2 linked regions of the Ovis aries genome follow. The protein of the gene in region 1 binds, or shares a complex with, the protein of each later gene. Links are inferred from orthologs where the notes say so. Each region holds a gene or a part of one and is shown on either strand. Other genes may lie near its edges.

Region 1 (3,816 bases):
TTTACCATGCTGCTCTTCATGGTGGGAAACCTCATCATCATCCCTGTGGGCATCACCTTCTTCAAGGACGAGACCACGGCCCCGTGGATTGTGTTCAACGTTGTCTCGGACACATTCTTCCTCATGGACCTGGTGCTGAACTTCCGCACGGGCATCGTGATCGAGGACAACACGGAGATCATCCTGGACCCCGAGAAGATCAAGAAGAAGTACCTGCGGACATGGTTCGTGGTGGACTTCGTATCCTCCATCCCCGTGGACTACATCTTCCTCATCGTGGAGAAAGGCATCGACTCTGAGGTCTACAAGACGGCCCGCGCCCTGCGCATCGTGCGCTTCACCAAGATCCTCAGCCTGTTGCGCCTGCTCCGCTTGTCGCGCCTCATCCGTTACATCCATCAGTGGGAGGAGGTGAGCGGCTACGCATGGGCGCAGGGGCGCGGCCACGGGCGTGAGCGGGGCTTGTGGGGCTGGGGCACAGAGGCCAGGGTGGGGTCAGTGGGGTCGTAATGGGCTGGAACTGGGCTGGGATGTAGGGGCAGGGTCGTGATGGGCGAGGGTGTGCTGATGGGTGAGGATGCTGTTATGGTGATGGGACCAGGCGATGACTACAGGTGGCACCAGGAACAAAAAGGCCGGGCCATGATGGGAGACCCTTGGCAGGGGGTGCTGCAGGGTCCAGGGGCGTACAATAAGACAGGCGGGATTAGACACACAAGAGTATCGGTGTCACTGAGTACACTGCGCGGAATTACAGGAGCTGCATAGAGGGTCCTTGGAAACTTAGGGGTGGAACCTGGGTGAGCTAGGGGCGTGGTCACAGGAGCCCCTACCTGCTGGGGAGTGGGGTCACAGGAAGCACTGCATGAATCCTTGACACATCTGCAGCCCTTCCTTCGTTCTGCCCTGTGAGAGGCAGAGTCCACAGCCCTGTTGGCAGTGGGGAAACTGAGGCCCCAAGGAGTGAAATCATGACCCTCTCCCCCAAGTTCAGACCCACTTCTGGACTCCGTGTGACCTGACTTCTGCAGCCCATGGCCACCACACAGGCTCAGTCACCAGCACTTTCCAGGATGGTGACAGGCTGCCATCAGGGGAGCGGGTGGGGACTGGGTCACTGGAAGAGGCAGTGGTCCTCAGAGAGGACAGTGGATGGCCGGCCAGGCAGAGATTTGGTGCCTGGGCGGCAGGCTGGTAAGGGGCCATGTTCTCTAGTCTAGGGCACTTCACTACCTTGAAAGGCCTACGGGGAGTGGGGGCTACGAGGAAGTAAGGGCTGCCCCTCACGGGGGACTGCGTCTTCCCACTGCTGGGACACAAGTAACCATGGGTCTGCCGGACGCTCACATGAGCTGCCCTGCCCTGCCCACAGATCTTCCACATGACCTACGACCTGGCGAGTGCGGTCATGCGCATCTGCAACCTCATCAGCATGATGCTGCTCCTCTGCCACTGGGATGGCTGCCTGCAGTTCCTGGTGCCCATGCTTCAGGACTTCCCACGCAACTGCTGGGTCTCCATCAACGGCATGGTGGTGAGCCCCGCGCCCGTGTCCCTCTTGCGTGCCTGGAGCACAGGGCGCCTGAAAACCCCTCTGGTGCTGAGCACTCCTCTGGGCTGCTGTCCCAGTTGGAGCCTTGCAGATCCAGAACTATGGAGATCTGTTGCCGTTTGAGGGCAGTAGAGCTGCTTTTGTCCCCCTCTCCCCTTTAGAAATCACGTCATCTGCTTACTATTCTGTGATCCATTCCACTCTTTTATTTGCACGCATGTATGTGCATGCTATTGCTTAGTCATGTCTCTTTTCGACCCCCTGGAGTGCAGCCCACCAGGCTCTTCTGTCCATGGGATTCTCCAGGCAAGAATACTGGAATGGGTTGCCATTTCCTCAAGGGCATTTTCCAAACCCAAGCATCGAACCCGCATCTCCTGCATTGGCAGGCGGACTCTTTCCCACTGAACCACCTGGGAAGCCCATTTTATTTGCACCCATGTGTTTAAATGACAATTTTATCATAGTCCTCAGATGGGAAAGTAGCATCAACGGTCTTGAGAAGTAATAAATTGGGAGATTCAGGAGCACCTATTGCTTTCTGGCTGAGACTGTTAACAAGCCTTTCTCCTGCTGGGGTGCATTTGGGGCACAGGGCAGGTGGGCATTGATGGGCGGGAGCACTGGAGGGAAAACCCTTGGGCGCCCAGCCTAGCGCCTAGCACAGCTGCCTGGCTGAGGCAGCTCATTGTCTGGCCGGACACCCAGGCATGTGGTCCTGTTTCCTGAACAGGGCCCACTGCCCCTCCCCTAGCTGGTTCAACTGAGGACTGGTCGGGGGTGGTGGGTTTCTTCCTGATCCTGTCTGATGCTTCTTCCACCCCGCCCCTCTGATCAGGATTTCAGTGTCCCCAGCTCGCTGTCCCCAGGACTTCCCCATTCTTTGGCCTCAAAGACACTCACCAGAGGTTGTGAAGTAGTGAGGGCTCTTGAACACCCAGGGCTGGACTCTAGCTGTTTGGAGCCTGTTTCCCCAGGAATGAAGTGGGGAGGTGGCTTCACGCTGGCCCTCTGCTGAGTTGCTGTAACATGTGTGCACATCACGTCGGCTGCCTAAATCTAGTTTCTCTTGGTTGACTCTGGACACAGGGAGCCGGATGCCTGGGGAAGGGTGGGCAGGCAGGGCCCTGGGGCGGGGCGGGTCAAGGGGCTCCCTGGGGACAGGGAGCCCCTGCCCACCACCCACCCTTGGACTTGCAGAACCACTCATGGAGCGAGCTCTACTCCTTCGCGCTGTTCAAGGCCATGAGCCACATGCTGTGCATCGGGTACGGGCGGCAGGCGCCAGAGAGCATGACGGACATCTGGCTGACCATGCTGAGCATGATCGTGGGTGCCACCTGCTACGCCATGTTCATTGGCCACGCCACCGCCCTCATCCAGTCGCTGGACTCCTCGAGGCGCCAGTACCAGGAGAAGGTCTGAGGGGGGAGGAACCCCCGAGGGTCTGGGGTCCACCCCACATCCCTCCAGCTCCATGTGTTGTGCTCAGGATGGAGGCCAGAGGGGTAGAGGGGATGGGGACCTCAGAAGGGCCTGTGACTGTGATCAGGACTGGACCACCCCCCCCTCAGTGGGGGGAGCAGCTCACAGAAGGACAGTGAGAAAGCTCAGAACTCTGAGGAAGAAGTCTAGAGGGGACATAGGGGCTGATGAAGGGAAAAGGAGGGAGAAGAGGTCTAAAAAGGACAGGGCCAGGAGACCCCTTGGTGAGGGGTGTCTCTGGGCTGTCCCAGGAAGGGTGGAGGTGCTGGGGTTGCTCAAGGACACAAGGGAGGCCTCTGGGAAGCAAGGATGTCCTAGGACTTGGCCTCCCTGGGGCCAGTCCAATGTGGCCCCATAGGCCAGCCCTTCCTGGAGGTCAGCTTCAGTCTTCTGCCTCAGTTTCCCCTCCCTCAGGCCAAGGGTGGCCCAGTTCCCCAAACCCTGCCCCACTGTCCCTGTACTACTACCCCAGGGCTAGCCTTGGCCCAGTAGCTGCCTCACCCCAGCAATGCCCAGCAGTCAGGTCGGCCGGGTCAGCTGGGCCTGGTGCCAGGCGCCCCGGCTGTCCGGAAGCCACCAGCCTCCCACCCAAACACGAGCTGGTGCCGCCACCCGCCTGCCGTCACGGGTTCCGCTGAGCTCAGGACAGCTGTGGCTGGGCGGGGCTAGGGCGGAAGCGGGGCCAGAGCTCCCCTGGGGGTGCCACCCTGGGGACAGTAGGGCCTGGCACCCCTAACTGGTGCCCTTGCCCCCAGCCCTGTTCAGGAGGGGCTGGGCTG
Region 2 (3,816 bases), on another chromosome or scaffold:
GCATAGCATCTTCAAGTCACTTTCTGTTTCCTTCTCTCTCCACCCTCCACTGCCACCATCTCTTAGTCTCCCTCTCTCTCTCTCTCTCTCTCCTCCTGTCTCTCTCTCCTCCTGTGTCCCTCTCTCTCCCCTTCTATCTCTCACTCTCTCTGCTTGTCTCTCACTCTCTCCCTCTTTCTCTCTCTCCCCACCTCTCTCTCCGTTTCTTGCTGTCTCTCTCTTTGCCCTCACCTCTCACTCTCTCTCTCCTCATCTCTTAGATAGATGGAGATATCTATTTCCATCACTGTCTCTCTCCATTACTCTCTGTCCCCATCTCTCACTCTCTCCCTCTCTCACTCTCTTTCTCTCTCCCGCTATTGTTCACTCACTCTCCCACTATCTCTCACTCTGTCTCTCCCCCTTGTCTCTCTCTCTCACTCTCTCTCTCCTCATCTCTTAGATAGATGGAGATATCTATTTCCATCACTGTCTCTCTCCATCACTCTCTCTCCCCATCTCTCACTCTCTCCCTCTCTCACTCTCTTTCTCTCTCCCGCTATTGTTCACTCACTCTCCCACTATCTCTCACTCTGTCTCTCCCCCTTGTCTCTCTCTCTCTCTCTCTCACACACACACACACACACACACACACACACACACACACACACACACAATTTCACTTCCACGATATATCAGGTGATTATTTTAATTCAAACACAAATTCTGGAACACAAGCCTTCATGTGCCTAAGAGAATATTTAAAATCAGATTGAGAAAATCAGTAGAGCAGACACCCCCTTCCATACCCAGGTATGCTATCTATGAAGCCCATATGGAACAGTGACATCGGATGCCCTTTATTTTTGTCTTAACTAAAGTACACACCACACACATACACACACATACTCACATACTCCCACGCTAAAATGAGATTTGTCTTTCTTCAGAAAGCGAAAGGCTGCACACATTCTTCTATGGTTTTGAAACTGTGTTCCTCAGGGACTCTCTCTGCTTCAAGCTTGCCATTCAACCTCCAAGGCACCCCCTTCATCAACTGAGGAACAAATAAAGCCTTTTGTGTGTGCCTAGCAGTTGTTTCACATTTGCTAGGAAAAGAACAAAGAAACAGAGACCTCAGAACAAACACAGGAAGTGCTGAGGACAGCTTGGAGGGGAAAAGAACGTTACTGAGCCAAGTTTGAATTCGCAATTCAGTCTCTGAGTAATTCATTTATTCTGAATGGTGAGAAACAGATATAGAGTTAAATTAATACTCATCAGTTATTATTCTGTAACAAATGTACTTCCTATCTACAAGCAGACAAGTCCTATATAATTTTCTTCTAAAAGAAGTGTAGGAGAAAGTGACTAATTCTTGTTTGTGCAATTAGTAAAAAGGCATATATGGCATTTCAGAGACTGTTATTCACTTCCTTCCTTCTGTTAGAAGGAAATCACAGTGGGCCTAGAATCCCTGCCAACATTAACAGTGGCCTAGAATTTTCTATTTAAACATTCAAAAGATATGAAATGTGTGGCATCCAAGCCTACCCTGGCTGCTTGCCGTGCTTAACTTTTAGACACCAAGCCAGCCAGAACACTCCTCCACGGCTCGGAGCATCTTACTGTGGAAAGTGACTCCTATCTCAGGAAGACCGGGACAAGATAAGCTCACATGAGATGACACTTTCAGGCCATTTTATGATAAATTTACTTTATAGCATCTTCTGTAGAGCCAATAGCCTGTCTCATCTGCCATTTTATTCCCAGGGGTGTTTTCCTGTTTCTGTCAGTGTATGGATAGGATTCTTGCCTAAAACAGAGGGGAGTGGGGGAAACAGGAGATAAAGGAAAAGGAAAGAAAAGCATCACAAATTGGCCACCAAAGAATGGAAATAATATTTATTGAATACTTGCAGTATGTTGGGCACTTCACACATTTGATTTATAAATTAGATAATTTAATCTTCATATCATATCTAATGCAGAGACTTAATTCTGCATGTTTTAAGTGAGGACATTAAAACTCAGAGATGTCAATAAACTTACTCCAAGTCACACAGCTAGGCAGTGGCAGAGTCTGGTCTTTCCACTTCACCATTAACACCCCAACCATTGTGATATATACTTGAAATCAGAAAGCAAGATTATAGAAAGTTTTACATCCTATCCTAAGGATCCCATATGATGGCTAGCTCATGAGAACACTTCAGTACTAAAGAAATCCTGGTTGTGAACTAAATTAATCCCTGACCCTGCATTGAATGCAAGGGGGAAATAGATGGAAGAGTGTTGAGATGTCAACAAAGATCCATTTCCTACCAAGAGGAAAAACCAAGAGATCAAAGAGGAGGAGAAGGAGCTGTGCAGAGGTTGTTGTAGACAGTGCTGGAAAGAGTTAGCATAAGGAGTGTCCCTGCCACTTTGGTGGCTTTTCTAAGCTAGCCAGGAAAGAGATCCTAGGTCAGGAAGCCATCAGGCCAGTTGAGAAGCCACTCTGGGATGCTGGGGCTAAAAGAGAAGTAGAGCTGGAGGTACCTTTTCTAATAGGAATTTTCCATTTCTCACAATGAGCTAGTCAAACAGCAGTTACTTGCACTTAAGAGAAAGAATGAAAAGTTACATAGCTTGCCTTTTTAATTCTCATTTGCCTAGTTTGCATTTGAACAAATTCTTATTTCTGCCTTCATTAGAGTATTTAACACAATGTAATCAACCTGCTGGGAAGTAAAAGTGTAACCATTTTATGGTTTGTCACATTGAAATTTAAATTTGCATATTAAACAGCAAAGGCATTAACATGTGTACCTATTCATCAACTATGGATTATGAAATACCTCTCTAGTGTGAGCCCAAACATCAAGCCGTTTTCTGAGTAAAGTGCTTAATTAAATAAAAGATGATTAGCAACATTCATTTATGCCCTAGATACTTTAGCAGTTTGAAATTAAAATACAAAGACATTTAGAAACTTTACCAAATCTTCCTCATCACTGTTTTGCAAGCATCTCTCAGAATATGATACATTGACTCTATGCTGGGAAAAAAACTTCACTCTAAAATATACCTCTTTATAAATAAAGCAAAGCAATCAAGTAAATAGTACCTGAACTCAGATTCAATTTTATCACTTTAATTCCATTCAAACTTTCATCACTGGTGCGACTGGTCTAAGCCTTATTCTGCAGATTTCTACCATGCCAAATAAAAGAGAACATGCAGCAAGTTTCCCAGTCTAAATGCAAACCGTCTTGATAAATCAATGGTGAGCTAACTTAATTTGGTGCTTCTAACCTATACTGCAAACACAAAATCCTTCTGCACCCAAATGAAGCTTATTTTTAAAAAAGAATTTCAGAGCAGTGAGTGAGCTTATCTTAATGTCTTCTCTCTCTTACAGTATTGACTACAGGCTTAGATCTCCTTGACTTGAGTGAACCTGTCTCTCAAACCCAAACCAAAGCCAAGAAGTTGGAGGCCTCATCAAAAACCTCATCCCTCAAGAAAAAGGCTGATGGGTCTGACCTCATCAGTGCAGATGCTGAGCAGAGAGGCCAGGCTCTCCGAGGCTCGGAGACAGCATCCTTAGACTTAAGTAAGGCAATAGCTGTGTTTGCTGCCTTGATACAAAGCCATTCTACAGATGACATGAAAACTGTGGGCAAAGCAGTAGAAAAGTTGATGTCTATGTAGGAAAGTGGGCAGGACACACTTTGAGCTTAGATTAAGTAGCAGTTGGGGAACTCAACTTTGTAGAACTGGTGTGGATTTATATGTTTACTTATACAACCCATGTATATCGAGTTTTTGACAGATGGCAGACACCATAGTAGG

Evidence for each region.
Region 2: the proteins of HCN2 (region 1) and PEX5L are in contact, whole or in part, in a crystal structure (PDB 4EQF), measured with the Mus musculus proteins. The link is inferred for Ovis aries from reciprocal best matches to the Homo sapiens genes HCN2 and PEX5L. Residues at the interface, in NP_032252.1 of Mus musculus: Leu859, Ser860, Ser861, Asn862, Leu863; in NP_001156988.1 of Mus musculus: Glu315, Glu317, Val343, Asn347, His426, Asn453, Arg454, Ala457, Thr458, Ala460, Asn461, Tyr472, Arg484, Tyr487, Asn488, Ile491, Ile494, Ile537.

The regions. Positions count from the first base shown.
Region 1 is NC_056058.1:40,903,984-40,907,799, forward strand, and holds part of HCN2 (potassium/sodium hyperpolarization-activated cyclic nucleotide-gated channel 2), read left to right. Parts: coding exon 1-411; intron 412-1,372; coding exon 1,373-1,534; intron 1,535-2,752; coding exon 2,753-2,971; intron 2,972-3,816. UniProt on the Homo sapiens protein: Hyperpolarization-activated ion channel that is permeable to sodium and potassium ions. Displays lower selectivity for K(+) over Na(+) ions. Contributes to the native pacemaker currents in heart (If) and in neurons (Ih).
Region 2 is NC_056054.1:207,989,662-207,993,477, forward strand, and holds part of PEX5L (PEX5-related protein), read left to right. Parts: intron 1-3,382; coding exon 3,383-3,577; intron 3,578-3,816. UniProt on the Homo sapiens protein: Accessory subunit of hyperpolarization-activated cyclic nucleotide-gated (HCN) channels, regulating their cell-surface expression and cyclic nucleotide dependence.